2 separate regions of the Mus musculus genome follow, and region 1 is reported to be linked to region 2. Evidence: microRNA targets listed by miRTarBase, many of them from high-throughput screens and not tested one by one. Region 2 holds a microRNA gene; the other region holds the end of a gene's coding sequence.

Evidence for each region. The annotated mature microRNA mmu-miR-196b-5p reads UAGGUAGUUUCCUGUUGUUGGG and lies in region 2 at 2,033-2,054, opposite strand. An mRNA with a match to its seed (bases 2 to 7 or 8) in the 3' UTR can be bound and repressed. Matches are read on the target gene's strand: a 7mer-m8 pairs with bases 2 to 8, a 7mer-A1 pairs with bases 2 to 7 and ends in A, and an 8mer does both.
Region 1: miRTarBase lists Eif2s1 as a target of mmu-miR-196b-5p. Seed matches in the 3' UTR shown: 7mer-A1 at 2,854-2,860.

Annotation. Positions count from the first base shown.
Region 1 is chr12:78,884,179-78,888,571 of GRCm38, reverse strand. Eif2s1 (eukaryotic translation initiation factor 2, subunit 1 alpha) reads right to left here. Exons shown (of 8, transcript NM_026114.3): 8 at 1,562-3,781. The coding sequence ends at 3,656. Among named protein-coding and RNA genes, the nearest start is that of Plek2, 21 kb to the left of the region's middle.
Region 2 is chr6:52,228,097-52,232,489 of GRCm38, forward strand. Mir196b (microRNA 196b) reads right to left here and starts at 2,069; the gene lies at 1,985-2,069. It overlaps Hoxa10 (homeobox A10), which reads right to left. Exons shown (of 2, transcript NM_008263.3): 2 at 3,101-4,393. It overlaps Gm52902 (a long non-coding RNA gene), which reads left to right. Exons shown (of 2, transcript XR_003956434.1): 1 at 1-2,239; 2 at 3,816-4,393.

The sequences.
Region 1 (4,393 bases), not on the chromosome of region 2:
CTCACTTTAAAGTGGGGATGCTGACAAACAGATGTCTGTTCAGAGGATACTGTTTGTCTTGTACTGTAAGACAGTAGGTATCACAAGTTGCAGATGTCATACTCTTGAAATCTGTCGCAGATATTTTTTAAAAGGCAGAAATACAGCTTTTTTTTTTTTTTTTATATAAAATGGACATTTAGAAAGATGTGGAGCCTCAGCTCTCCAAACGACAAGGATACAAATGACAAAAGTTAACTCAAGGTATAAAACTTTGGTCTAAAAATGAACATTAGCTCATCCCCAGTTGGGGGTTAAAGTGACAAGTCTGTATCATACAGTGTTTTTATAAATATTTTTTATTAAATGTATACAGTGATCTGGCAGTGATGGCCAGGATTCTTGCCAAGGACAATGGCTTGGACTTTAATAGATAAAATACATGACTTACATTTAAGGGGAGTGGATATTTCTAAAGTGTCTAAGTAAAAACTTCTCTTAAAATAGATTTCCTCTTAACGTCTGGAATATCTGACCCCGTGTTTGGAATCCCAAGAACTTGTCTGTTTCTCCCTTTACTCCTTACTTTGTAAGAGACTGCCTTTTCAAGCACCGTTTTTTTCATTTGGCATCTTTCCAGGTTTAATGTACCTAGAGTTACTTTTAGAATGTTGACAGGTGCTTATCGGAATTAAACTACATTTGGCTTGATAGCTTCCTGCTTCCCATAGCTATGGGTGAGAGGATTCTCAAGGGTTCTAAAACAGATGAGCACTGGCTTGAGACAAAGCAGTGGAGCTGGCAAGGTCTAGCTAGACCCAGCTTTTTTTCATGCCTACTCATTTTAATTGTTCTCGTTGTAAAAAAAAAAAAAAAAAAATGCCCAGGACACAAATGGGCTGGTGTACAATAGCTAAGTAGTGGCCCAAAGATCAGCACATCTCTAGAGCTCCAGTTAAGAACCTGAACATCTTGAAATACCCCCCCCCACACACAACCCCAATCAACCAAACAAAATAAACCCCCCAAAACTTGGAACATATTCATGAAAATTGGCTATGTTTGGTTATAAAACTAATTAAAAAAAGCAGTTTCAATGTTTCGTTTTAGTTAGTTTCAAATCATTGTTAGGAGTCATGAAGTCTATTTATTTTGTTGTATAAATTAAGGACCATATGACTGTAATCGATGGCAGAAGGAAAACAGAACTATTAGCATTTTTAATGAGAAGGCTTTGGTGGGAGAACCAAGATATGTAAGTTCTGTGTGTTGTTTACACTGTTCAGTCTCACAGCTGGGTGAGTCTGCCTGGCCTAATGTGTCTTAGTTTGTTCTTTTCATCACAGGATCACTGCAGTATTGATCTCCCAGGCTAGTCAGCATTTTACACAACTGTAGAACCTAGCAACAAAGCTCAGATAGATTAAAATCTATCACGGAGCCATAAGCTATTTCTAATTCTTTGAGACAGTGTTTCTCTGTGTAGCCTGGCTGATTTGGAACTTGCTTTGTAGACCCAGTCTTGAGACTGCTCTGATTTAAGGTGTGCACTACCATGGCTGGCTGGCTTAAATTTTTTTTTGGAGACAGGGTTTCTCTGTGTAACAGCGCTGGAACTTGCTTTGAAAACTAGGCTAGCCTCCCAAGTACTGGAATTAAAGATATATGCCACCAACCTGACTAAATTGTTCTCTTAAATATAAAACTTTTCAGTAAACAATCCCTAGGAAAAGGGCGCTTGCTATACTTGATAATACATTTTTTCTTCTGTGGTAATGGGGATTGATCCCAGGGCCTTGACTTGCTAGCTATGCACCAGGCCAACTTAGCTATATTTCTAAATCCTTAAAATATGTGTATTCTGTCTCTGAATTATCTGAGATTACAGTTACTATTGCAGCTTTGGTAACACCTTCATGTTCTTTTATAAACTTGAAAAAAAAATTGAGACAGTCTCACTATGCAGTCTTAGGTGACCTGTAACTTGGTATATATAGACCAGCTATGCCTTGAACTCAGAGATCCAACTGCCACTGTCTATGATGGGACTAAAGGCATGCACTACCATACCTGGCCCTAAACTTGCTTCTTGATGCATGACCAGTGGTTGTTCTAGACCATCAAAAACCAGATATTTATATTATGATTCATAATAGTAGCAAAATTAAAGTTATGAAGTGGTAACAAAAATAACTTTATGGTTGGGGGGTCACCTCAATGTGAAGACCTGTATCGACAGGTCCCAGCATTAGGAAGGTTGAGAACCACTGCTGTAGTCAGCCAATCTGGAGTACATTCAGAGTCCCTAAATACTAGCAACATGGTATGCAGACTAGCAAGCATGGCTCCTCGGAAATGGGTCACACAAGGTTAGACCAGTAGATTAAACAAAAGAACTTTCATAAATGGCATAAAACATCTCTCAACATTCTAATTTCCAATCCTTTTGATACAGAGTCTTGCAGTGGTTGTCCAGGCTGATCAGCAACTCTTGGCTCAAGGAATTTTCCCTCCTCAACTTTCCAAGTACTGGAGCCATCAGCATGTGCTTCTGTACCCAACTCTAGAACTCTTCCCATGATGTCTAGTCCTGGACTGACTTAGTTTCAAGTTTGCTTACAGATAATAAATAGTATACATATCCTAAGATAAGCATGCCAAACTAAATGAAGACTTTCTACATGTGATATTGTAGCTGTAACTTTGTGTTATTTGAAAAAATTATTTTGCACATTAACCTTTAAAGTAGCTAGTTTGAGAAGGTAAAAATGGGATTAAAAATTTTGTTAAATCACATCATGTGTGGTTTATATATATATAAAACCATGTATGTATATATACACACACACACACACATACACACAACTCAAGAATTAGGTAGCACCTACCAGATAGAGGAAACTGTCCCCTTCAGATGGGTGATGCTGCTCAAAATAACTCCATCAAAGCAGCAGCACATTAAAATACCCCTTGAATTATGAATTCAAGGTAAGTAGCTTAGAATAAACCAAAGGGACTGAGTGTGATGACTTCTCACACAAGTTATCACTGCTTTCAAGTAAGTTAACAGGCACATAAATCTTTAATTGATTTCAAGGTTTTTCTCTACCAGGGGTCAAATTCCTAATTTCTTCTCTAACATTCCTTTGGAGAGTCTGTTCCTGCATAAGTCATTTAGTTACTTGCCCATTGAGTTCTACCATATGAAGATAATTAGGATCTGAGCATTCAGATTGGCTTTAACTTGTGACAAGAAGGAAGAAGCCTACAATTAAATATCCCAGAAATTTATTTGATGTTTGCTTGAATACATTTTATATAGAAAGATTGGGATTGTTTGTGTTTGGAGTCCCTGGTAAATCTCTGAACCATAAGGGTGCCATTCCAGAGACATGAGAAATGGAAACTGTAGGCCCAATATTAGGACTGCTGTTTAAGATTTGTCTCTGGTCAAATCAAGCCACTCCCTTGAAAAATGCTTGAGGTGTTAGAGCCACTATGTGGAAACAGCTGACATGAAGGAGGGCATTTAGATTCTGGCTTGTTGAATACTTAAATACTTGGAAATAAAAATATTCAGCTTTGAAGTTTTCAATACTGGAAAACTCTCAAGTCTAGGGTTGACAGCCAGGAAGGGCTGCTTCGTACTCCTTAAATTGGACTGTTTGCCAAAACGTTAATCTTCAGCTTTGGCTTCCATTTCTTCTGCATCATCATCTCCATCCACTTCTGCATTTTCTCTCTCCAGCCGTTCCAGCTGCCTTGCAAGTTCAGTCTCATCTGTATCTGTGACCACTTTGGGCTGTGGAAGAGGCACAATTTCAAAATAAAGTAAACAGCAGAGTAGATTTGACTTCAATAGTATTACTGACCAATGTTTAAAATTTAACAACAAAAAATTCATTTCTAACAAAATTCAGTCATACCTGTGCTGACTCACCACTGAATAAGTTCTATCAGCTGAAAGTTAAGAAAATTCAAGACCATCCAAGGAAGCAGTATACACTACAGTGGAATAATACTTCCTGCCATTTTAATAAGCTCAACTGAAAACGAGTTCACTGATCACAGCAGAAGACCACCAAATGGCCTGTTGTTTTTTTGTTTTTTTTTAAAATGAATATTTTGGGCTCCAGATAAATTATTATCCTTCCTCAGAGATCGAAACATCTATACACACAGATATACAGCATATGGAAATTAGGTCTTGTTCATATTGAGAGAAAGACAGATTATTTTATGTTTGAAACAGGATTCCCTATGTAAATAACAAGCCAGTACTTCTGCCTCTGCCTCCCAATGCTGAAATTATAGGTTTGTGTCATACTATGCCCAGCAAATTTTTCTCCATGAGGGGAAAACCCCAGCACTAGCACAAATGTCTATCCCATATGGCATTCCAGTGCTAACAGTG
Region 2 (4,393 bases):
CCCCCAACACAACCCAAGGTGTTCTAAATATCCGGTAGTCCTCTGAGGTTCAGGTTTTCATTAAAGCAATAACCCAGGAGTATAACTCTGCTCTTAATTGTAATAGTAAATGGTAGAGTATTCCTGGCTGACTTTTTCATTTTTTGTATTCAGAGAAGATATGTATCATCACCATCATCATTAATATCATTAATATTTATTAATTTAAAATACTTTTAAAACTTTAGTCTCAAAACAGAAAAATTACAAAGAATTAGGTACTGAGTATTAAGCAGCTGTTTACATGTGGCCCAAAAGGGGGAAAATTCATAAAAGGAGATATTGTCCTTGTGAGTCTAGAAACATGATCCTAAAGTATACAGGTTTTTATTTCTGCTTTCTTTTGGATGAGTTGTATACACATCTAGAAATAATAAATGGATGCAACCACACAACACCTCATGCTCAACTGAGAATCTTCCAAAAACGTTGGTCTTTGAAATAAGCCCAGTACCCGGATGCAGAAAATGGCAGAGAAGAGTTGGAGGGAGCCTGGAGTACTGGTCACTCAGATAACAGGTTGTTGGCTGAGCAACGAAAACAATTCCCGGGCATCAGCCTGAGCCGGGAAGGGAAACAGAGTTCTGTGGTCTCAGGCAGTGCCTGTGTTGTTGGGGGTGGGGAGAGGGTGGTTTGTTTCAGGTTTCTGTATTAAGAGTCGTTAGGCTGGTTTTCTTAGATTACAATTTAGTACCAGTGCCCCAGTTTGTGCCCTCCCTGATCTTGAATTTGGGATTGTTTTCACTCATTTAAAATATATTGGACCTGGGAAGGTCTCCCTTCTCAAACCCTCAGTTGCACAAGGCAGGACATTTTCTGAATCTAAAATGGCTAGCAAGCCAGCGAGCAGTCAAGCCTTGGACCCGGTGAGGCTCTCTCATCACGGTCAAAGCCCGAGTTAGGACCCGTAAAGCTGGCAGAGTCGGTCAGAAGCTTCCCGCTGAAGCGTTCTCAGTAGTCGGGCGACACAGAACCTAGGCAGGAATTCAGCCCTGATTCCAATTTCCGAACCAATGGATCTGGCAAAGTGTTTCCTGCCCTCGATGTGGGCACACAAAGACGCCGCGGGTGCCCCCTCACCGGATCTCTCGGGCAGCCGCTAACGCAAGGCCGCCGCCATCCGGTCGTGATCGTAACCGAGGCCTTGTCTGCGCAGAGGCCCACCAGGCCAGAAAACACGGACCTGACCAGCTTCCCTTATGCACACCTTAGCACATTCAAAACTGTGTACCGAGGGGGTGGGGGGAATGAAACCTCGAAGCTTTCTCTAAGCCAGCCCTTTACCCTCCGGAAGAACGATTTGGAATGGAAGCGGAGAGACAGATTTGGACAGAAAGATGGAAGATGCAAGAAAAAGAAAAGAAAAAAAAGGAAGGAGTAAGGGAAAGGAAAAAAAAAAAAGAAAGAAGAAAGGAAAGAGGATAAAAATACGTAAAAGAAACAGCGGCAACTGAGAGTAGAGGGCGCCCTTGCAGAGGAAGGGTAAGCAACAAGGCCAGGATACCAGCCCCGGGCTGTCCTGACTCTCCCGTCTCTGGCTGGGTCTCTACTGGCGAAGGACCTTTGCCTCTGCTCGTAGCGGGATTACAGTGACGAGCATGTGTTCCAGCCCAGCCTTGCAGGAAAATGACAGAGCCCCACACAGGCACAGGTATGGAAAGCTCAGACAGCAAACGAGCGCCCCTGACCTTGAATGGCCTGGGGCCCAGAATTCTTACCACGCCCCCGGCGTCCAAGAATCAGCCGCTAACCTGACTGTACCTGCTCCGGGCCAGGTGCCGGGCGGCGACAGTGAGGCGGGCTGGGTGGCACAGCGCCGAGGAAGACCCGAAGCTCCTCCTGCACATGGGGATCTGAGGTTGCCACCGCAGGCCTGGCACGATTAGGCCTTGATGGCCCGCCTAGCCATCCCGGGCTGCTCTGGACAGGTACCTGGAGATGCTTTCAACTGAAGTAATGAAGGCAGTGTCGTGCTGTCGAGAGAAAGGTGGATCCCAACAACAGGAAACTACCTAAATCACCGACCAGTTCTGATGCTGCGGGCGTAGGGTTGCCTCGCCCCTCGCCGCCTCCGCTGCTGCCACTGTCGCCGCCAAGGAAAGAGCCCTGCGATTGTGCCCAGTCGAGCCCTCCTCCGCAACCTGTACCAGACACCACCCTAACCCCATGGTGGATGAAGAGGGCTCCAGGCTCCGGAAAGGTACGCCTAGGAGGAGAGAGTGAAAAGGAGGGAAGGGGGACGAGAAAGAGGGAGGAAATAAAAAGGAAGGGGGAAAAAACTAGAAGGGGGGGGGGGGGAGACCCAGCGGTGTGAGGCGGGTTCCCCAGATTCTGCAGCTTTGCCAAACAGAGCCTCCCTGGACGACCAGAAAACGCAGGGGACAGCAACGAAGAGCCGGGTCCTGTGGCTGGCCGCGGCCTCTTCTACTCACTCCCCGCAGCCGCTCGCTCTCCCCCTCTTCTCCCTCCTAGGCGCCCGCCCGCTGAGGCGCGCGCTCCCGCGACCCTTCCCCCACCTAGTGTTCCCCCCCCCCCTCCGGCGAGCAGGAAACGCGTGGCCTAGCGGAGGACCGCCAGGTGGGGGAGGCCGGGCAGGGGGAGGGGGTGACCCTGGACAGCTCGGCCCAGGTCCACTTAACCGCTGTTGCAGGCACTAGTGGTGCTCCGTGAGTGGGCCCTCCTCCGCGGATTTCGGGCGTGGGTTCTTCTGGGACCTGGATACCCGCAAAATAACTGGCTCCTGCGAGCCTCTCTGGGGCTCTCTAAAGAAATCCTGTTTAGCTTCCTCTGTCTATGCCGCTCTCCTCTCAACTGAAACCACTGGTCCAAGACAGCCACAATCCAGATATACTAGCAAGTCATAAAACTGAACAAAAGCCGACAAACCTTAAGGCACCAGGGCTATAGGGCCCAGACAAATTACGACCGTCTAGGTAATATTTAAATAGATGCCTAAAGTAATTGCAGGGGGCTCGGGCTAGCCCTCCTGTTGTAAAAGTGGTGGACAGGATAAAATGGAAGGTGAAGATAAGAAGTCAAAAAAGAGGTGAAATTAAAAAGCTTCATTCCACAGCTTTTATTCTATAAGAACATAAACATCATCTTTTTCCACGCACAGCAGCAATACAATATTAATTTATTCTGATTTAAGATTTTGAAGTAAATAAAGCTAGAACTAACATTTATAATAACGATAGAATGCATTTGCTTAAACAAGATTGGCAATTTTTCATAATAATAGACATTTATACAGATTTGTATTTATAGGTTTTTTTTTTCTTTTCTGCACCTACAGGTTTGACCCTTTTATGCATGTAACTTCACAGTATAAAGGAAATCCAAACAATATCTCCCTTCTCTCATTTTTATTTCTGCTTGCCCCAGCCCACCTAGGCTTCCATGAATTTCAGAAAGCCTACAAAATAAAAAACAAAAACAAAAACAAAAAGTGAATTAAAGCAAAAAAAAAAAAACAACCTCCATTAAATAGGGAGAATTGTGGTGTGCTTTTCTTGTGTTACCAATTGGTAACAGTTTTAATGACGAAAATCCACCAGTTCCACATGTATAAACAAACCTGCATTATTTGTTAACAGCAGGGATATGGAAACTCAAAGGTGAATGAAGGATTTTAGCCAGGCAAGCAAGACCTTAGGCAAACGGGAAGAGAGGTTTCCTTCTCTTGCCCATTTTAATTTTCATTTAAAGCTGGGAGATCTTACAAAAGAAGGAAAAATTAATCTTACTGATTATTTCTTTTTCACTTTTTCAACCAGCCAGGTCAAGCCCTTTAGCTAACCTGAATGTCCATGCTTCCATACTCTGCTCTTGGCCAAGGAAGAAAAGAAGAAAGAAAAGAGAAACCAGGCCTGGACTCCCTGATTAAACACAGCCCAGCACTCCAGGCTGGCGAACCCGGTGGCGGCTCCTTGCACCATTGACCTCAGGCCAGACACCTCAGCGCCGACAATGGGACCTAAGGCTTCCGGCTAAGTTTACCCAGGGCTGGGCAGGAAACCAGATCCGTGGAGGAGTACTGGGGCCCTTTCCTAGCAGTGGGTCCCAGAGGCAGCAAACCCAGCCCATTCAGGACTTGACACTGAGAAAGATCTCAACCTCTATAGAATTTTAGCGATATGGCTTTTTCCCCCAGAAAACAAGCAAACAAACACCAAGCAAACAGACAAAGAAACAAACAAACAAAAAAAGCCAGAACAAACCAGCCCTGCACAGACGAAACGGCCTGGGAGATGGCGAGTGTGGGAGGGAGAAAGGGGCTCCGGCACAGGTGTGAGTTCTGGGGCAGAGGCTGGAGGCAGAGGATGGGTCCAGGCGCTCAGGAAGCGAAAAGACG